3 linked regions of the Pelodiscus sinensis genome follow. The protein of the gene in region 2 interacts with the protein of the main gene of each other region in a biochemical or structural test. Links are inferred from orthologs where the notes say so. Each region holds a gene or a part of one and is shown on either strand. Other genes may lie near its edges. The genes, in order: TOPBP1, RHNO1 and HUS1.

The links.
Region 1: the proteins of RHNO1 (region 2) and TOPBP1 form a complex in vitro, tested with the Homo sapiens proteins (2 studies listed by BioGRID). The link is inferred for Pelodiscus sinensis from reciprocal best matches to the Homo sapiens genes RHNO1 and TOPBP1.
Region 3: the proteins of RHNO1 (region 2) and HUS1 form a complex in vitro, tested with the Homo sapiens proteins (2 studies listed by BioGRID). The link is inferred for Pelodiscus sinensis from reciprocal best matches to the Homo sapiens genes RHNO1 and HUS1.

What each region holds. Positions count from the first base shown.
Region 1 is NC_134712.1:179,227,184-179,234,358, reverse strand, and holds the start of TOPBP1 (DNA topoisomerase 2-binding protein 1), read right to left. Parts: upstream 3,053-7,175; 5' UTR 2,922-3,052; intron 2,859-2,921; exon of another isoform or gene 2,657-2,858; intron 2,382-2,656; exon of another isoform or gene 2,359-2,381; intron 1,382-2,358; 5' UTR 1,381-1,381; coding exon 1,300-1,380; intron 148-1,299; coding exon 13-147; intron 1-12. UniProt on the Homo sapiens protein: Scaffold protein that acts as a key protein-protein adapter in DNA replication and DNA repair. Composed of multiple BRCT domains, which specifically recognize and bind phosphorylated proteins, bringing proteins together into functional combinations.
Region 2 is NC_134711.1:125,751,735-125,758,674, forward strand, and holds the start of RHNO1 (RAD9, HUS1, RAD1-interacting nuclear orphan protein 1), read left to right. Parts: upstream 1-3,837; 5' UTR 3,838-4,212; intron 4,213-4,709; exon of another isoform or gene 4,710-4,762; 5' UTR 4,763-4,801; coding exon 4,802-4,969; intron 4,970-6,940. Other genes in the region: FOXM1 (forkhead box protein M1), read right to left, coding at 1,122-1,671. UniProt on the Homo sapiens protein: Involved in microhomology-mediated end-joining (MMEJ) DNA repair by promoting recruitment of polymerase theta (POLQ) to DNA damage sites during mitosis.
Region 3 is NC_134712.1:158,116,881-158,124,619, reverse strand, and holds the start of HUS1 (checkpoint protein HUS1), read right to left. Parts: upstream 3,061-7,739; 5' UTR 2,958-3,060; coding exon 2,906-2,957; intron 804-2,905; coding exon 676-803; intron 1-675. UniProt on the Homo sapiens protein: Component of the 9-1-1 cell-cycle checkpoint response complex that plays a major role in DNA repair. The 9-1-1 complex is recruited to DNA lesion upon damage by the RAD17-replication factor C (RFC) clamp loader complex.

The sequences.
Region 1 (7,175 bases), on a different chromosome or scaffold from region 2:
TACGTAGCAAACCTTTTTGAGATGACTAAAAACAATGCCACTAAAAGGGTCACAGATGTAAAGGGATTTGTCATTTTCTTTTATATTGAGTGCTGGTGCTTCTTCAACAATCTGAAGATATTCTTCGGATTGAAATTCTTTTATGGACTGCAAGAAAACATGGAACAATATACTTAACTTAAATTCAAAGATAAAACAGTTAAGATAAATCTACCTATGGCAATTGCAAAACATATACAGTTGAAATTACTTACAGCAAAATTACTACAGAAGAATCTACTTGCAGTGCAACTAAACAAAAATATAATATTATTTCAATCCACTGCAATGTACAGGGTACACATTTTCATGTATTGGACATTATCTTGCAAGATGATGAGAACCTTCTAATTCCCACTGACTTCTCAGGGGAGAAATGACTTAGCACCCTCTTCAGTACTAGCACGGAAGAGGGACCTGAACCCTCAAGATTGCACCTCATTCTGTTCTGGGACCTGCTGAATGCCTTCTACAATCACTGATCCCAATCATTCAAATACTAGCTATCAAAGCACAGCATTCAATAAGTTAATTCAAATCTTGCAGGACAATTTGTTCCTGGAGGAAGTCAAGGTTCTTAATTAAGTTACGGATGTCACCAGTTAACATCAGCAGCAGCCTGGCTAAGTGGAAGTAGCCCCCACCCAATATAGGCAGAGGCCTGCTCCAGCCCTGCTGGTTCCACTGTGCCATGCCATGAGCTGGGGGCACTCTAGCCTGGCCAGGCCCGCCAGGCTGTGGGCGAAGAAGAGGGGCATGCCAGCTCACAAGATCCCTGTTAATCAGGGAAATGTAACATTTAACCAGTTAACAGATTACACCGGATTTTAATTTGAATCGATCTTCAAATTATTTCAAAATACATCTCACAGTAGTAAGGGCCATGCCAGGCAGTGACTGTCTCCAGTACTAGGACCAAAGTACTGAGTGCTTCAGCACCTTTCCAGAGGCACACAGCTCCTTAGAGAACTGGTTTCAAAACAATGATTTCACCATATGACTTTTTCACTGTATTAAGTGGAACTAATCCACTGTAATTAGTAAAAAAAAAAAAAAACTGAAGTACATAACAGAAAATATTGATCCTTGCTGTAGAAAGTTAAACAAGGCAACTGTATTATCTAAATTAATATCTAATATTGCATCTGAGAGAAACAATGCAGTTATTTACAGATAAATATAGTAAAACTAAATATGAAAGTAATTAGAAAGAAAAGTAAATTCAGGAAAACAGCTAACAGTGGTACCAAAAGTTCTTACCTCAAGAGCTTTAAAAAAATATTCAGAGTTGCCAGAAGACTTTATAAATTTAACAAAAAATGGCTCCTTGTCACTTTTCATCCTTTAACAAATGGATGAAGCAAAATAAGCTTTGAAGTATTATTTTTCATAATAACTGTTATGTATTCAAGACTTGTATTAACGAGATGTTCCTAACTTATTTTTCCACATAAATTGTTTTTTTTCTGAATTTCTTGAACAAATGTATCCAAGCATTAAAAATCTATTCCCTGTAAATGTCAGTGCTACTAATTTGCTCATATATTGCCCCTTATAACTGTTGTACATAGGTTATCACACTTCATTGCACCATGACCCCTTTTTACAAACATTACTACCTGACCCGAGAAGACCGAGCCTGCTCCAAACCCTGCTGCCCTAGGCTGGGAAGGAGAGGAGCAAAGGCAAAGTCTGAGCCCCACTGCCACGGGGGAGAGTGTGGGGGCGAGGGGGGACAATGCTGAAACATAGGTAGGAGGCCTGTCATCTGAACTCCACTATCTAAGGCTGAAACCCTGGGTCATGACACTGCACATGGGAGACAGGGGTTGGGTGTTGGCCTCTGTCCCCAGCAAGTCTAATGCCAGCCCTAGCAACCCCATTAAAACAAAGTCCCAACCCACAGTTTGAGAACCGCTGCTGCAGTATGTAGATGCTCAACACATCTCAGAGATCACTCTCTCTGATGCAGAAATAGAGCAGGGGTGAAGATTAGGTAACCTCTTGACTTACTCCTCCAACCCTTTACTACCTGGAGAATTTGCTGGACCTATAAGGAAGGACACAAGTGTTTCTTGAAAATTTGGTGCTTAGGTGGCTGCTCAGGAGAGCTTCAAATACCAGCCTGCAGCAGGGCGCCAACAGCCAGGTTTTTGTTTCTACTAGTGGACACATTGGCACGTGTCTCGGTGCACATAAAACATTTATTCCACACATGGATGGGGGAAAAAAATCCGCACTCGGGTGGAAAAGATTAGCGGGGGCGCTGCTAAGCACCGCGCCTTGCACAAGAGCGCGGGGGAACAGGCTGAGACTCACGGCTCCGTAGGCAGCTCTGCTCAGCGGCAAGCCCGGGCTGCACGTTCCCGGGGTCTCCCTTATCGGTCTGACACGGGGCTCCCCCGCCCAACCAGGAACACCCCGCCCGCCGCCGCCGCCTCCCCCCGCCCCAGCGGCCAACGCCGCTTGCCCCGCCGGCTCCACCCCTCACCACAGCCGGGGGGCGGGGGCGCCGCAGGGACCTGGGGAGTCGCGCGCCTCTCCCCGCGCGTCACCGTCACGAGCCCCCCCCCACCCGCGCGGGCAACAGCCACTCGCGCCGTCGCGGATCTGTCACCTCGGCCCCTCCCGCCGGGCTGCGCCGCGTCCTCCCGCTGCTCAGGGACCCCCTCACCAGCCCTGCCCGTGGAAGGAGCCGAGTCGGCCGGGTTTGCTCCCCCCCAGCCTAGGGGAGCCCGGAGGGGTCAGCGCGGGGCGAGGTTACGGATGCTGCGGCCTCGCTCCCACAGGGAACCCAAGATTGGCGGGAAGACCACCAGACCCACACTGCGCAGGCGCGGGCTCATCTCTGTCACGTGACCAAGACGGGAGGCCCGGCCCACCTCTTAAAGGCGCTGCGAGCGGCGCGTTCTAAGTGGATCCGGCAACGGCAGTTCTGCTGTTGGCTGCTTGGTCTTCTTCCGCCGCCGGCGTCACCAACTTGCGCCTGACTCAGCCGCGCGACGCTGCGTCCCTGCGCGTTCTGCGCCCGCCCCGCCCTGGGCAGCGCCAGGGGCTGTAGGGGCCGCTTGGGGGGGGCGCGTGCGCGTGTCAACGCCTGACGGTGCCCCCCTCCCCCCGGCTGCCGCACGCCCCTTGGGACTGGAGGTGGCGGGGGGGGGGGGGCTCACCCCGCCCTCACTCTGCCGCTAGCGCGCGGGTCTTTCCTTAGTGGCCCTGGCCCGACACAGCGCGCGGGCTCTTGTGCGGCGGGGGGGTGAACTGGGCAGCCTGGGCGCTACAAGGCGACTCTCCTGAGCCCCGCCCTGGGTGAATGTGGGGGCGGGGTCTGCGCTGGTTCCAGTCCCCGCGGAGATGCAGCGTCCGGTCCTCGTTTCCCTCCCCAGCAGAGGGCGCTGCAGCTACACCAGGGCTTCCAAACGTAAGTGCGGTGAGAGCCAGGTTCCCCTGTAAGCGCTGCGGCCAGGTGTTTAGAGCCCTGCCGCTCTTTCAGGAGACCACACGTGGTGGGAAGCTGTGGCAGCCACAGGAGGGCCAACTCAATTCCTCCCCAGCCCACCCTCAACTTGCTGCAGCCAGGGTCACCTGGCACCAGCCTGGCCCTGTCAGGTGGGGTGGCCCGGCCTGACTCTGCCCCCCGGGGTGGCCCAACCCTGGACCTGATCCTGGGGCAGCAGCCTGTCCCCAACCCCAAACTTGCCATGGTCTAGAGCAGTGGTCTCCAACCTTTTTACACCCAAGATCACTTTTTAAATCTCAGAACAGGTGAAGATCTACTGCCCCGCCCCTTCCTTGAAGCCCCACCCTCTCTATTCTCCTCCTGTCCATCACTTGCTATCCTCAGCCCTTACTTACACGCTCTGATAAACAGTTTATTTTTAAATTATGTGATATATAAAATTAAAATAATGTATTTATAGTTATGAAATAAATGGTCTGTTTTTTATTCATGCTATTTAAATCTAAAATGAAGCATTTATAATTATACATTTTGGCTGTGTCTAGACTGGCAAGTTTTTCTGCAAAATCGCATGATTTTGCGGAAAAAGTTGCCAGCTGTCTACACTGGCCGCTTGAATTTCCGGAAAAGCACTGATGATCTCATGTAAGATCATCAGTGCTTTTCCGGAAATACTATGCTGCTCCCGTTCGGGCAAAAGTTTTCCGAAAGACTTTTGTGCAAAAGGGCCAGTGTAGACAGCACAGTACTGTTTTCCGCAAAAAAGCCCCGATCGCGAAAATGGCGATCAGGGTTTTTTTGTGGGAAACCGTGTCTAGATTGGCCATGGACACTTTTCCGCAAAAAGCCAAAGTCGGGAAGCCGACACTACCTCCATTTTCACTTGAGATAGGTAGTGGGGCTTTTCGGGGGTAGGAGGGAAATGGGGGTGGGGCGGACAGGATGCCTCACGATTGACTGGTCAATTGCAATCGACCTGTTGGTGACCATGGGCCTAGAGCTACTACTTTGGGGAGACAGGCTGTTTCCCCAGTCCAGGTGCTTCTGTAAGGCGAGAGAGCTGGGAGTGTCCTCTCTCCTTGCAGTAACCTTAGGTTAGGTCTACGCTCGCGGCTTCTCGCGCAAGTACGGCCATTCTTGCGCAAGAATTTGCAGAGTGTCCACACTGCCCACCCGATCTTGGGCAAGGAAATTTACAGTATGGCGTGGTAAGAGAGGGTTCCTTGCGCAAGAGTTAGGCTCTTTTTTTAACAGGTGTAAACCCTCTTGCGCAGGAGCTCTTGCGCAAGAGGACAGTGTGGATGCTCGGCAGGGATTTCTTGCACAAGAAAGCCCTATGGCTAAAATGGCCCTCAGAGCTTTCTTGTGCAAGAGAGCGTCCACACTACCATGGGAGCTCTTGTGCAAAAGCACACCACGCACATGGCAGTGTGGATGTTTTCTTGCGCAAGAAGCTGCCTGTGTAGACATAGCCTTGGAGAATGGTCCTTCACCCCAAACTCCTAGGCTGTGTCTACATTGGCGCTATCTTGTGCCAAAGCGGCTGCTTTTGCGCAGAAACATGCTGCCTTTCTACCCTAGTGGTGAGTTCTTGCACAAGTACACTGACATTCTAATGTGTGAAATCAGTGCTTCTTGCGCAAGAACTATGATGCTCCTGCTCAGGAATAAGCCCTCTTGCACAACTGTTCTTGCGCAAGAGGCCAGTGCAGACAGGCCATCGGAGCTTTCTTGCGCAAGAGAGCATCTACATTGGCACGGATGCTCTTGTGCAAAGGCACATGCCAGAGTAAACGCTCTCTTGCGCAAATACTTTAACACAAGAACTCTTTTGTTAAAGAGTATTTGCACAAGATCATGCCAATGTAGACGTAGCCCCACTGAACCTTGTCCCAATTCAAAGAATGTTAAGAGGCAGATAATTGACTAATTATGTACTCTATACAATTTGTATTGAGCGATTAGTTGATAAGGGCAGTTCCTATTGCATTTAAAAAGCAGAGCTGCAGCAGGAGTAGGTCCAGGACCTGGTGCGAGCTGGGACTCAGCAGTCCTAGCTTGTACTGGATCCTGGACCGCTGCGCCTTTGCCTCCCCTTTCCTCCACCTTACATTGTGGAGGCAATGCTGTGGAGAACTGGCTTTTAAGCTGATTCCCCCCAGCACTGGCTCCTGCTTCCGCCCCCCCTCCCCCCGCCCTTGCCTCTGATAGAGAGTCAGCAAGGGGAGGGAGAAGCAAGTAATCGAGTAGTGACTCCACTAGCCACTTAGTCCCTATCCACCCCTAGCCTGTATGCCTGTCTGGAGTCCTTACACCTTTGCACCCCAACCCTTTATCCCAGCCCTATACTGCTCATTCCTGGCCCCACCCCAGATCCTGCACCCCCAGCCAGAGCCTTTCACCCCAATCCTCTGTCCCACAGCTGAGTCCCCTCCCGTACAATGAACCTTTATCCCCATCCACCACCACATGAATTTTGTTATGTGCACCAATATAAAGTTGATGGATAAAACATCACGGCTACGTCTAGACTGGCATGATTTTCCGGAAATGCTTTTAACGGAAAAGTTTTCCGTTAAAAGCATTTTCGGAACAGAGCACTTTTTTGTGGAAAAGCATCCGTGGCCAATCTAGACACGCTTTTCTGCAAAAAAAACCCTGATCGCCATTTTCGCAATCAGGGCTTTTTTGCGGAAAACAAATCTCTGCTGTCTACACTGGCCTTTTTGCGCAAAAGTTTTTCAGAAAAAGACTTTAGCCCGAATGGGAGCAGCATAGTAGTTCCAGCAAAAGCATTGACAATCTTACATGAGATTGTCAGTGCTTTTGCGGAAATTCAAGCGGCCAGTGTAGACAGCTGGTAAGTTTTTCCGGAAAAGTAACTGCTTTTACGGAAAAAGTGGCCAGTCTAGACACAGCCCACCTCCATATTGATAAGTATAACAAAATTCTGCCTAAAGATGGAAAAATTAGAGGCAACACTGATTGAGATGCCCTCATGACAATAAACCTTGCTACACAACCACAGGAAGGGGGGGGCAGTACATGAGTCCTTCTGCCATAGGGTGGGTACGGTGGGGAGGAGGGAGGCAATGCTAGAGCCCCATGGGTGTTATGTAAGGAGGGTAATGCATAGCCACAAAGGCTTCAGTACCCAGCAGGTGGCCTGTAATTTGAGGCACCCTGCACACAGTGCTGAACCCCTTGGGCTTTGGCCTCAGATACTGAGACTTGGAATCCAGCCATGGGCCACAGGTAAGCCTAATAACAGCCTCTGGCAGATCCATTAAAATAGTCACAACCCACTTTGGGTCACAATTAATAGTTTGAGAATTGCTGGAGTAGATGATGTGTTGCATTTGTATGGTTTATTAGGGCTCCTTCATGCTTCATGAACTATCTAAAGCACCTCTGAATTGTTACAGTTGGTTGGATGGCAGTAGCCAGACAGTTCAGCTGTGAGAAAATACTTTATCAGCAATAGCAAGGCAAGCCCCTACTTTTATAATATGCTGTGCAATCTGTACATGCAATGCCAACAAGCTCATTTTTGTAAAAGGTGTCCTATGTTCCTAGCTTCCAGTCTCTTTGGTGCTCACCTGAGTACTGCCATCCTCCTTTGGCTTGGCTGGAGGCAATGTGAGGCTCCTCAGACAGCAGTGCTAGACTTATGGGA
Region 2 (6,940 bases):
CAGCTCGCTGTGGCAGCTGCTCCTGCACGCCTCCAGCCAGGCCCCCATTATGGGGTCAACAGATAAGCATGCTGGTAAGGTATATGTTTACTGGTTAACCTTTAACATCTCTAGGCCCAGGCTGAAAAATCCTCTCTCTTGTAGTTCTGACCCCCCCTCACTTCCCACTCTGTCACTATAGGCACTTCCCAAGTTACAAATATCTGACTTAAGAAAATCTGCACTTGCAAACACAAACGCACCTGCAGCCTCAGGGAACAGGCAGGAGGCACAGGTTGCAGCAAATAGCGCAAGTGCTAGACGGAGGACTCTGTAGGAATAGGGGGTGACTGTGCAGCTGGCAACTGAAGAGAAGCAGCACTTACTCCTCTGGAGTTCTCCTTCCGCATTCCTCCTCCATGTGAGTGGGAGCTAGGTGCAGCTCCCAGAGGGTAGGGGAGTGGGGTGGGGAGGAAAGGGAGGAATGGCTGGGAGGATGGGGGCTGCCAGAGCAGGCACTGAGCATGAGAGGGGAGAGAAAGCTGGCAGATGGGGATGGCTGCAGGAGCCAGCACAGAGACCGGGGAGGGAGTACAGTTGAGGGATGCCCAGAAGTTCCCTTTCAAATCTCCACTTAACTCCTCATCCTCCTTTCCTCAAGCAGCAGCATTCAAGGTTAAATGAAAAACTATTTCTATAATTTTTCATTGCAAATTTATAGTATTTCAGCTACATTATGGGTCACATAGGCTTTTGTGGGCTAGCCTGGGCACCTAACCACCATTCAGAATATTGTTTCTGTGGGAAAATGCACTCTGAGTTTCAAATAACCAACTTACAAACTTTTCAAACACAACCCTTTCATAAGCTGGGGACTTTCTGTATACCAAAATCCTGACCTGTAACATACCTTACCAACTCTCAGAAAAACCCCAGGCCCTAAAATCACTGACTTTTACTTGGACTCAGGATTTGAACACCTATCAGCGTACATATAAACCTAATATATTAATCACCTGGGTTGCTTGAAATTTCACATTTTCACCACTGCGCTCTCCTATATCAAGCAGAGCATCAATCCCCCATCTCTACCCACTCCACATTGTGCTGAAGAGTTCAACAGAAGGGTACAGCCTACGTACTGTTTCCTTCCTGTTCTTGTCCTTCCATGGAATTGACTTGTGGATGCCACAGTACCGGCCTTTCCATAATCCCAGGGTTTTGTCCAATGTTCTTCTCTCCATCCTGACAATCTGCTGCTGTGGCTCCCTTTGTTGCTGTGCTTGTCTCATCATTTGATTGGAGCTTCTGCTGAGTTGCTGGTGAGCCTGTGGGGAGTGAGTTGCCCCCACTGCTGATGAGAATGAACTTGTTGGGCCCATTGCTGCCACATTCTTTCCCTTTGGCTGTCAGAGCCTCGATGATACTCTGAATGTCAGCATCGGGAGGGATGACTACCACCTGGGTGTTTGTCATGGTAGGGTGATTAATGATCTTTATTCCTGCTGGGAATTTCTGGGTGCTACCCTCCACTCTGTCCCTGGATTTGTCCTCTCTGACCTGCTCATGCTTGGGGGCTCCTTTACTTTGCCCATCTGGTTCATCTCTCGCTGGGGTGTTGGATGAATTGCGATTTGGGAGGGACAGTTTTCGTCTCTTGAGAATCAGAGGCCTGCGAGGGCTGGTCCTCATGATTGATCTGTACAGTCACTCGCCATTGAAGACTGCAAGAACAGACCCTGCAAAATATAAGAACATGAAAGAGGAGCTGTAAGCATGGAACGTACAGGAATGGAATGAATTATCTCTATGCAAGGTACCAAATCAGCTGATGTATGAGGGGTACAGTGGTAATCCTAAAAGAGGAAGATTCCTCACCATCTGTCTTGTGACTAGAGGACAATCCCTATGCCCATAGGGAAGAATTGCATGCCACATCCATTGAAGGGAAAGGTTCCTCCTTATTTATTGATACACATCTTGTGAAAACTCCATACAGATGAGGAGCACTAATTGCATGATAACTGAATATCTCAGATCACACCCGTGAGGTTAGTGTTATCATATTTGTTTTATAGAAACACCATAAACTCAGAGCTTGAAATAGATTTGTTAGAAGCCAAGCACTTCCTTTCTTAGCACTGTGTAACTCAATTCACCATCATCTAATGTCAGAATAAATTTCTTAATCTGGACTTTATGGATGGTAAACAATTTTAAAGTTTAGAACTAGGGGAATCAATGACAAAACCAGAAATAGGGATGTGGAGATAGGATAATTGTTGCATTTATGGGAGTTGTGGCAAGTGGTACTTTGCTCTTGCACAAGAAATCTTCAGTGGATCTACAGTGCTTGCATTATACAGATAACGTATGGGAGACTAAGAATTAACCAAAATGGAGAGGATTTCACATCATTGGAGCGGATTAGGGGTATTAAATATCAGTTAATTGAATAGTCGATTAACCTCATGAATTCTTATTGGTTACTTGACTATTCTATAGTCCCTAGGGGTGGGGCTGGCAACCAGTGCGCTCCAGCCCTACTCCAGAAGAACCTCCTGACACTCTGTGCTGCTGCCTGTGTATAAGAGACAGCAGCGTAGGGTACCAGGCAGGAGCTGGCCCGTGAGGGGAGCCAGTTTAAAAAACAGCTCCCCTCACAAACTGGCTGCCTGTCACCCCACAGCGTTGGGTGGCAGCAGCTCCTGTCCGGAAGGAGAGGGGTCCGAGTTCCTGGACCTGGCGTGAACCAGAACTGAGCCAGGTTAGCTGCCCACTTGGCTCTTAATACACTTTAAATGTAGAGCCACAGCAGGGGTAGATCCTTGATCTGGCACAAGGCAGGACGTAGGCTACTGGCCAGCCTGCTAAAAAATTTATTGGCAAGTGTTGGGGAGTGGGGGAGGGGGGGGGGAGGATGCGTGTAGTCTGTAGCATTAACAGACAAGCTTTTGCTTATCGGTTAATAGACTACACTATTACATCTTTAGAGCCAATCCAGCCTGTTAGTAACAAAACATCCTCAGAACCGATAATTTGTAGGGCCCTGCAAATCCACAGATATCTGCTTTCTATCCTCGGATATCCGCTTCCACAGATATGGTTGTGGATATCTGCTGCTCATTTTTACAGCTATGGATCCGTATTTTGTATCCGTGCAGTACCCTAGTCATTTGTACGGTCATAAAAGGGTACAAACAAAACTGACAGAAAAATAAACTAGCCCCCTTCCTAAGTGATAGAGGCAAGTGACACATCCAACCCTGGCCTCTGGAAGGAGGCGGCTTCACGGGACGCCCTGCAGCCACTGACAAAGGCCTCGCTGCATCCTGGCTGCGGGTGGTAGCTCTGCGCTGTCACACACACGCTGGGAATTCTCACCTGCTCTTTCCCCTGGCCCCAGCCCCTTCCCCCATCCATCTCCCCACAGGCTCTCCGGCTCCTAGAGCCCCCAGCCCGTGTTTTCACCCCTTCGCCCTGCCCCCCATGGCCCGCCGGTGCCCACCGACCCCCTTTCCCTTCCTAGTGGCCCCTATCAGTCTCCCCGCCCCGGCCCCGCTCCCGCAGCAAGGCCCCTCCCAGCCCGCTCTCACCCCGGTGTCGGTGGGGGCAGGGGGTCGCGCGCCCCGCTGCCTCCCCGCGGGGACCCGGCACCGCCGGGCTCCGCAGCTCTCAGGGCACAGAGGCAGTTCGTTTCGTTTCCCGGTTTGAATTTGGCGCCTGGCGGCCCGTTGGCATCACGTGCGAGGGCGGGACCAATGGAGATGAGGCCTGGGGCCAGAGCGTTCCATCCGGCAACGGAAGTGGCCAATGAGCGCCCGCGCCCGGCGGTGCTCGCACACGCCTGACCCCTGGCAGGAGCTGGGATCAGACCCGAGGCCGGTTCAACCCCCCCACCCGGCTCCCTGCGCGGAGCAGCGTCCGCGGGGGCGGGGGCGCGGCCGTAGGAGGCGGCGGCGGCGGCGTTTGTCTCGGGGCTCTGCCCCCGCTCTCAAACGGTGGCCCCTGAGCGCCTTTGCCGCTGCCCTCCCCGCCGCACCTGCTCTGTGCTCCTGGGCCTGCCGCCCGCCCCGCCGCTGCAGCTTGGAGCAACCGGCCAGCCAGTGATGGCGGAGTAGCCGCCGTGTGCGAGAGACAGCCAGCCCCGGAGCAGCCGGGCGGGCGGCGTGTGCGTTCAGCTGCCGGGCTGTGCGCGAGAGAAAAGTGCCCAGGAGTTACTGGATGCCTGGGGTAGGGCATAGCGAGAGCACCGCGTATGTGTGTGTACACGCCTGTAGATAAGTAGAGCAGCGGACCCCAAACTTAGCAGGGTCGTTACCTCCTCCTCCCCTGTCTGCACCCTCCAGCTGGTGCGGCTGTGTGGACTAGGTAACCGGAAAGGGCCACGGCTAGGGATGGTGGAGCAGCATTATGTCAGTTCCACCTTGCTGATGTCGTTTAGTGAGGATCTTCCCAGGAGCAAGACATGACTGGATATACTCAATAGGGAGGACACCCCAAAAACCCAAGACCATGGGGAGAGGCACCCACTACAGACTATATCTTGTGTAACACCAAGAAAGCTCTGATTGTGTCCCTAATGGGAGTATGGCTGAGTGGATGTATATAAAAATGTATATTTCCATTTTTTATTAGACTTTTTTGGAGGCAGATCAGAAGTGTGTTCTATGTAGGAAAAAACAGTTGCTAGGTTTGACGACTTGACATCCCTCTGTTGCTTTCTGCAGATTTGGGTACAGTTTGTCATCTCTTTCCTCTTCTCCCTAACTGGCTCCACCAGGCATCATGAGGTTTCATAGCGACTTTCTTACCCTTTTTGATGCCTCCAAAGAAGAAATGCATCCACCAGGCTCACAAGACACAACTGCGATTCCTTGAAACTCCAATAGAGGGGCCTACACATCACTATGGATCTCCATTGCCTTTGGCTGAGAACCCAAGACGTGTTTCTACCAAACCTCTTGACCAAAATGCTTCCGTCTCATGGGTAGGTGCAGGTTTGTTTTCCTTAGTTTCTTATAGTAAGTGTTCTCAGCCTTCTTATGCATATCTTAATAAAGAATTGTTTGGAGTGGATCTTGGACATGGATTACACACACACTCCCCCCCCCCCCCCCGCCTGGTTACAGTGTTACAGTTGCTTCAGATCCCAATCTAGCAGTCACAAGCAGCCTGAGATGTATTTTAAATTAGCGCACTCACATCTAAATGGGAAATGGTGGCCACTGGCAGAGTTCCCTGTCTTGGGAACTAGCATGGTGGCATGAAAAGGTTGGGATCCATATGAGATGGGGATTCTTTTTGGCTTTTATGATAACTGAAAACCTTGGAAATGGATAGTAGAATAGTTACTGTTTAGTTACTCTTTATTGGATTTGATATTTAAACTACAGCAATTATTTCAAACTGTTTGGTATAACTCTCAACTCTCCAGCACTTAAATGTGACAACTTCCTGCTCAACTATGATACAGAAATAGAGTCTGCATCTTAATTGTGGTTCTCTTATTTAATATTCATGTATTAATAATCTCAATTTTGTAAGTTTGCCTATCTATGGTCACCCCCCAATGGAGTTAAATGTGGGTTAAAATGGATGTTATATCTTGTAATGTATATAGTTAAAAGGTGGAATACTTGATGTAAAATGATGAGGCCTACTTCCACAGATGCAGTGTGATAAGGAGCAGGTGTCTTCCCTTAGTTAAGCTTGTTGGTGAGAAATGCAGTTTCAAAAAGCCAGTGTATTGCTTGGAAACAAACAAGTATATGCCTGAGGTCAGTGGGAGTCTGTTGGAAGATCAAGCCTAAGGAGTGGATGTGTTTGTTTTCAGAGGCTTTAGCAGAACTACATAGACTACAAACCAAGAATCAACAGCAAGAAAAATGGTACTACTGAGAGAGTTGTATTTTCTAAAAAAATTTAAAATTGTGTTCACTTTTCACTGCTCATGTACTTTATTGATGTCTTGCATTTCATTCCTGATTGGACAATGCTGGTCAGTTTTACTGTTACACTTCATTTAGGTCAGTGCTCTTTTTGTGTGTGTGGTGGGGGGGGGAGTTGTCAACACCCCAATGAGCTCTTTAAAGAAACATGTTTTCATTGATAACAAATCTCAACTATTTGTTTTTCTGTTACATATTGTTAATGTAATATTACTTGGTTTCAATCAAAAGAAAATGTTGGGCCTGAAGTAAACCAGCAAATAGATCATCTCTTCTGGAAAGCAGGGTGATAATGCAGGCTACAAGCAGACACTATGGCGAAGATATCCAGGCAGCAGATTTTTGAAGCAGTTTTCTATGTACTTTAACCCTGCCCTCCTTTTCATTTTTGTGTGTGTTAAATCTTCTGCTTTTCCTAACACAACTCTTCCAATAGACTCAAATCTTGTTGAGAGGACTGCTAAGTTTCTTTTCACTCAGTCCTAGGATACTTTATTATGATATGCACATTTGCTTAAAAAATCTTGTAATTGTTCTGTAGGAGCTACCTGTCTTTGCAGAAGCCATTACCAGGCAGCTCTGTTAAATAACAACACTTAGGTCTCAAAGCTTTATAACAAAGCAGCCCTAAAAGATTTCAAACTTTAATGAGGAGTCCTGTGGTACCTTAAATGCTAACAGATTTATTTGGGCATCTTGTTCATTTGCAGCTGACAAAGTGGTTTTTACCCATGAAAGCTTATGCCCAAATAAATCTGTTGGTAAGGTGCCACAGGACACCACCTTGTTTTTGCAGATACAGCCTAACATGGCTACCCCTTTAAAACTCATATGAAACACTCCACCAGCCCCAGAGATCTAGATTTCTCTGTTTGATTTTAAATTTATTTTTGTATTTTTAATAGAGCATTTTAAACTCCATGAGTAAAACAGTTCCTGAGAGAAGACAGAATCCATTTCCATCTGGAACGATGGAAAATTTCCCAATGTAGACAAGGACTTATTTGGAT
Region 3 (7,739 bases), on a different chromosome or scaffold from region 2:
ATTCATTTTTGAACCCAGTTAGGGCCTTTACAGCATCCCATGGCAACGTTTCACAGGTTTCCTGTGAGTTGTGTGAAAAGTACTTCCTTATGTTTGTTTTAAAACTGCTGCCTATTCATGCCCTTGGGTGACCCTTGGTTTTTGTGTTATGTGAAAGGGTCAATAACACTTCCCTAATCACTTTACCCACAACGTTCTCCCTCCTCCTCCACCCTTAGTTGCCTCTTTTCTAAAATGTAACAGTCCCAATCTATTTAAGCTCCCCTCATCCAGAAGCTGTTCCATATTCCTCATCATCTCTGTTGCCTTTCTCTGCACTTTTTCCAATTCTGGGGCAATCAGAACTACATGCAGTAATCAAGATACAGACCCTACCATAACAAAAGACAGGACTATGCAGCACTTTAAAGACTAACAGGATGGTTTATTAGGTGATGAGCTTTCATGGGCCAGACCCACTGGCCCATGATATTTTGGTCTTGTTATCCTTCCCTTTGCTAATGGTTCTGCACGTTCTGCTTTTTTGATTGCTTATGAAATACATTATTACAAAAGTCTATACACCATTGTAGTCCCGCATAGAGTTTTAGAACAGCCACCTTAATATTAAAGACATTGAGAGATGTTTCATATACTATTAATTATGCAATAACAGCCTATTTCTTTGGCACATACCTGATTTAACTCACACCACATGCTGACCCCTCCATTTGCCACTTTATCAGAAAGGATGAAGTAAAGTTTGTCCACTGCAAGGCGTAGAGTGCATGTCTTGGCTAATTTGGCAATTGTGTTAATCACACCTATGGGATAACGTTTCATTAAATTAATTCCTAACACTTCTAGCATAGGCCAAAAAAGGGTTGCTTGCAATTTATGGTTTGCAGTTCAGTAGGAAAGAACATTATTAAAATAAATCTATGGAAAGTGGCAGCCCAAAACTTCTATATTTTGCTAAATTATCTTTTGGTTCTTTTCCCCCCCACACCCGTTCCCTCCACACTTTATTTTGTTTTGAGAGTAAAGGGAGATGAGGTAATATTTCTTATCAACTTCTTTTGATGAAAGAGACAAGCTTTTGAGACACATAAGAGCTCTGTGCAGGGCCAGATTAAGACCTTTAGAGGCCCCAAGCACTGAAAAGATTATGGTACCACCCCCCATATGTAATTCAAAATAAAAACAATACTATACTGTAAAATCTCAGGGTTTTTTTGGTTCCCCTACTTTGCTGGTGCCCTAAGCATGTGCTTAGTCTGCCTATTGGGTAATCCAGCCCTGGCTCTGTGGTTCAACAGTGTGTCTCTCTCATGAACAGAAGATGGTCCCATAAAAATATTACCTTACCTGACTTGTCTTGCTAATATACTGGGACTAAAAAGCTACAACTACACTGCACATAATTTTATTTTGTCACCTATCTCCTATCCCAACATCTAAACTATGAGGGTATGTCTACACTGCAACACTATTCCGAAATAACGTAGTCTGTATCTACACAGCAGTTATTTCAAAATAGTGTCAAAATACTGTCAATCTGGAGGACTTCTTACTCTGATTCCTGTAACCCTCCTATAAGAGGAGTAAGGGAAGTCAGAGGAAGAGTGGTCTATTTTGAAATAAGTGCTGTGTAGACACTCCCTAAGAAATCTGTGGTAGGAGCTATCTTCTTTATTTTTGTCTCTATACTGCTTTGCAAGATGCCCATTTGTTTTGGGTTCATAGGTGCTACCATTACAAACAGTAAACAAACACACAAACAAAAATGGAAGATTACAAAGAAAATCATTGGAACATAGGAACATGCTGTAGACTCATGGTCTGTCTACTGTATGATAGCCTACCTCCAGAAGTGAGCAAACACCTTGGAATATAGCAATCCCTTCTTCCCTCCCCATACTCAGAAATCCCCAGAATTCCTCACTGACATAATTCAGTTTTGGAGCATCACACTGGGCGCACAGGTTTGTTTTGCAACTTAGAAACTGCTAATGTGAAATTAAAAGGCGTATTAAAACTTGACTGATTTTTTTTCACATTGCAAGCTATAAATCTTTGTGAACACCATCATAAAGAAAAAAGTAAATACATGGATTTACTGGAAAACACTTTTGCTTAACAGAAAAACTATGGCGTTTGATCTGGATGTTATTCAGTCTGTGGCATCTCGTTATCTGGTCTGATCTACACAAGGAAAGGGACTGTCTTCTCAAACAGGTTTAAAAACTGACCTTATCATACTTTCTAGAGATACTCTCTATAATAAAATATATCAAGCCTGGGGAAGAACTAAGATGATTTCGGATCTGCAAAGAGCAGAGGCCATTTTCACAATTTTAAAATTTGCATTTTATTTATGTATAATTGAGCCTATTGGTTACAGTGCAACATGCCCTGAAAATATCCCAGATGGACAGATAGTCCCAGATCTGCCACTGAGGTGTTCTGAGAACTTCGGCAAGCAGTTGCACACATTTCTGTGCCTCGGTCTTCCCATTTGTTAAACTAAACAATGGCTTTTGGGAAACGATGTGCTGTGCAAGGGCCAAATGTGACACTGGTCTGTCAGCAGGCTTGGAAACTTCTCTCCCAAGCCAGCTAGCGACTGCGGATGTAGCTGCTTTACGTACAAAGCATTCTATGGCCAAGGACAGCAGCAGCCAGCAAGTCGAGGCTCATCAAGGGTCTGGTGCTTGCAAAGCAGCCCCGATTTACCCTGCCCGCGAGGATGCATCGCTCCCTGCGGTACAGGAAGAAGCCAGGGGACCCAACTGCACATTTCACCGAGACTTAAACACGCAGTGGGGGATGCGGGTTTTGAATCCCCCATTCTCCCAGCCCCGCCACAAACAGGCTCCCTGCCCGGAGCTCCCGCTGGCCCAGACACCCAGCCCGGCCCGCTCACGGGTGAAGTGGTTCAGGCAGGCGACGTCCACGATCTTGGCCCGAAACCGCATGGCTGCAGCCGCCCGGGCTGGAAGCAAAACAAACCCGCCCCGGCTGCGAGCCGCTCCGGGAAGCCCGGCCCCGAGCAAGCCAGTTCCGGTTCCCCTTCTCCCCTCCCCGCTGCCTCCTCTAACATGCGCCTGTGGCAGCCACGCGGTACGCGCCCGAGTCTCCCCGGCACTGGAGTCACTCCGGCGTCCCCCCGTGGTGGGGTCAGTAGAGCGCAGCTGGTGTAAAAGCGGCGCCGGTAGCAGCACAAAGGGGGTGTTTCAGAGAGCAATCACGCACACTCCGATGCACTCCTCTGCTGTATAGAGCTGGCAGTGATCCCTCTTCCCTTTCAAAAACAATGAAGAGCTAAAGGAAGTAGGGAAAAACTGGTACTACATATTAAGAGAGAGGGGAAAAACAACCTCTACCCATATAAAAAGGCAGGAGTTGGGAAAGCCCCACATAAGATTAGAACTGGCCCAAATATGAAAGGAAATAAGCATAAATTAAACAAAAGGGAAAATAGGTAACAGTTAAAAAAATGGAGGCTATACTTATGCTTGACTCTGCATTCTGTACACCAGTTTTACGCCGTTGTGAGTGTAATCACGAATTTACATTGGTATAAACTAGTGTGGCCATGTGGGGAACCAGGCCTAGAGAAAAAGGGAACAATAAACTGGGTATTTTTAAGAAAAGTTGCCTTGAAGGATAGGGAAAGCTAAATTATGTAATGTGAACACTAGATGGGGCTGGAGAGCTAGCTCACTCTTGGTTACAGTCTGATGGCAACCAGGAATGGTGAGTGGGCAGCATAAATGGCTTTCCTTCACCGCAGTGGGCCCCAGCAGCCTGTGGTCCACCTAGGTTCCACTTGTGGTCCCATGACCCACCTGTTTAGCTCTCCTCCCGCACACACCGTGGCACTGGAGATGCACACTTACCTGTTCCTTCCACTCTCCCAGCATTTTTGGAGTGATTTGCAGTGTTCCACCTCTGGGAAGGTGGGAGGAAGGGGAAGGAAGTGCAGGGCTCCAGTGCTCTGGTGTGTGAGAGGTGCATGGGGGTATATGAAACAATATGGTTTTTCAGTAGCCATTCTTGAAGGCCTGTAGAATATTGGAAGGTCTAACGTCTTCCTCTGCAGCCCGATTGAAAAGCAGCAGCCATTATCTGTAAAGTTTGGAGTCACATACTCACCTAAATTGCATTAGTGTCATACCAGGCTCTTAAGGAGATTCCATCTTAAGGGCACCCACTATCACCAGATAAAGAATCAGATCTCAAGATGGGTAAAGAAACAGCATTTCATCTGGCATTTCATCTGGCACACAGTAGTCGAGGTTGTGGAATCCTCATTCTATTATTATGGTCCTCACTCTCATACTGTTTCTCTGTATGATCTCTGTCTGGTTTTTAATTATTTCTGTCTGCTGTATAATTAATTGTGCTAGGTTTAAATCAATTGAAGTGGCAGAGTATGATTGGCTAGCTAATTCTGTTACAGTATGTTACAATTAATAAAATTTCAGTAAAATAATTGTTTACAAATAGTTAAGCAGGATTCAAGTTTCACTGTATAAACTGGAGTTCAAGAAGACCAGCAGGAAAGGGAAAAGGAAGAAAAGAAAAAGGAAAGACCTGGAAGAAGAACAAGTCACCTCCAAGACACAGCCCAAGACCAGAGCTGCTAGGATTCCTCTGCACCACCATGACAGGCCGTGCAACAACCAGGATCTACAGAAGACTGACCTTGCCTGGCCAACAGGGAAAGTTTGTCTGACTTTATCAGGATTGGTGAGCCTGGCACTGTATGCTTAGCATGTGTATTCTGCTTGCTTGGCAATTTTCAAAAAATAACAAGTGAGGATATTACTGTGTAAGGCTCTTTCAGTCGTAAAAGATCCTGCAAACTCGTGGGAAGTTACGCCCTAAGAATTGGATAAGTGTGAGCATTTAAATTAACAGGGTTACACCTTGAGCCCTAGGAATTGGGTAAAGTTGTGTGTCCCTAACATGTGGGAGTGACAGAGAAGTCTGTGCAGGTAACAGGGGAGAGAGGCAGCAGAGGGTCTGTGGGCTGCAGGTTGCCCGCAATCCTGATAAAAACAGGAAAACTTCTCCTGTTGGCCATGCAAGGTCAAGCTCATCTGGATCCTGGTTGTTGCACTGCACATCATAGTTGTGCAGAGTCCTGGCAGTCCTCATCTTAGGCTGTGTCTTGGAGGTGAGTTGTTCTTCTTCCAGGTCTTCCTTCTTCTTTCTGTTTCTTTCTTCCTTTTCCCTTTCCCGTGGGTCACAGGTTGCCCACCAGTCTCTGCATAATAATAATAAAAAACCAGCATTAGAGTACAAAAGGGATTATGCTGAGCTGACTCTTGGAATCATGCTTAAAGGCACAGGATCCAAGCTTGCTGCTGTTGAAAATGCTGTTATTATGTATTTGTATTCATTGTATGTAGGAATCCTAGTCATGGACTATGATTCCATTGTGGTAAGTGTTACACACAGAACAGTAAGACAGTCCTTACCTCAAGGAGCTTATCAGGGGTCTTGTATTCTCTTCCTCCCTATAGCTATCTGGGAAGGTGGTTCAGAGTGTAAAGAGGATGCCATGTAACAGGTGAAATAATTATAACACCAAGATAGAAGGAGAGAGAAAAAATCCTTCACCCTATAAGTTGGGTGGAGGAAGAGCTGTGGAATTTTACATGATAAACAATGACAATAGTGTGAATTTTCCAGCAGTAGGATCTTCAAGTAGCATAATTAAGCAACTCACCTCATGTGGAAACTCTCTATATCAGTTTTACATCATACATCAGAGGAGGCAGAGCCATGAGGCTTTAATAGCCATTCTTCTAGACACAATATATAACACTTGTCAGAAATGACAATGAGTTGCATGCTTGTGCTTAAATCACGTGGGCAAATGCTTTGTAGAACATACTGAGACAAACTCTGTTATAAATCAACGCATCTCAGGCCAAATCCAGGCTCCAACCCTGAGTCCTCTCTGGAGTTCCCATCCATGTAACACTAATCAGATCCCAAGTATCTTCCTTAGCAGCAGCCAGAGATCAATTTGCCACCAATGCCCACTCTCTGGGGTAGACTCCATGGTTCTCCCCCACTGCATTATCATTAGGGATGTTAAAATGCATTTATATTTGTAAATGTGTAACTGCTGAAATTTTCAGCAGTTACATGCAGAGGATGGTGGGATAGGCGGCAATCAATGCTCATAAGAGGCAGCAGCATCGGGGGTGGGCAAGCGGCTCCACAGGAGTCGGCATGCGCTGCTGCCTCTGATACAGAGACAGTAGCGCGGGGGCGGGCAGTCAAGCTGGCTTCCACCTGCTCTCCCCCAGCTGCTGCCTCTGTGGGTTACAGGTGGCTCCACAAAAGCTGGTACCCTTCCCCATGCGCACTGACCCCCATCTCTCTCCCCCATCCCATGCTGTTGCCTCTATATAGAGGCAGTCGGTGGGTCAGGGAGGCTGCATGTTACTGTGAAGGTTAACCGATGAGCCCAGGCTCATCAGTTAACCATGTACACGGGTACACACTGACATCCCTAATTACTATAAAAGATAGTGAGTGATACCACTGCAATGGGTGTAATATAAGAACGGCAATAATTGCCCCTGATGAAGTTGTGTTCTCCCCATATGAATGAGTTAGAGGAACCATGAAGGGTCTGGATACTCTAAAGAAACAAGCTAGCTCAGATCTCTTAAAATGGAACTGTCAGAGAGACAGGAACATCAAAGCTCAAAACTCCCTCTTCCCCCAAAGTCATTGGACTGTTCTAAATTTGCATAGGGATGCAGAGCCTCACAGCAGCTTTCACAGGATTAATGAAGAGCAAAAGTGTGCTTCAAGTCTATCTACACATGCCCTGTAACTAGTGCTGTATGCAAGTCCTTTGACTAAAACTGATTTTCTCCTTATTTTTTATTCTTTTTTTAAAAAGAATTTTGCATTTATATGTAGTATTATCTTCCAGTGCTATCGTTCTTTATTATTTTATCTTTTGTGATTCTATTAAAATATTTTAATGATTGTAACGTATATTAAAATAAATTCTTTCTTACGTTTTGTTTGGTTAATGCTGCTTACATTGGTTTAATATTGTATTTCTGTATTTAATTATGAAAAATGAAAACAATTAAACAAGAGACATGATAAATAGGAGGCAAAATGCCTGCAAAACCAACATCTATTTATTTTGTTTCTGTCAGCTGTTCTATGCACAACCCCATAGCTATTTTAGTAAAACAAGCTAGATGTAAATACGCCTTTAGTCTAAGAGCTGCAACACTCCAGGGATTAATAACTGAATCACGAGGGGGCCAATTCCATGATGTATTCAGTTTGCTCAACTCTTATTGAAGTAAATAAGAGCTGTGCTCTGCATTTTACAGGTTGGGGTTACAGTGATCTGAAAAACATTGCAGATGCTATTTGTATGCCATGGAAGCAATCTTTCTAACCACGGAGTCTGGTTGTTCAAATAGAGAAAAACGCAGTGTCATACATTCTTTCAAATTTGCAATACCTAACTTAGCCAAACTATCACAATGTTGTTTCATGGTCATTGGCTGCATTTTTGAGAACTGTCAGGGACTTTGGAAAACATTATACAGGAGTAACGCATATGGCAGATATATTAAAAAAAAAAAAAAAAGATTGGTACAGGTGCCTCCTTGAGCTTGTCATGAAACTAAGGGTACATCTATACTGCAGGGCTATTTTGAGATACCGGAGGTCTCCCAAAATAACTACTTTGTGTCTACGCA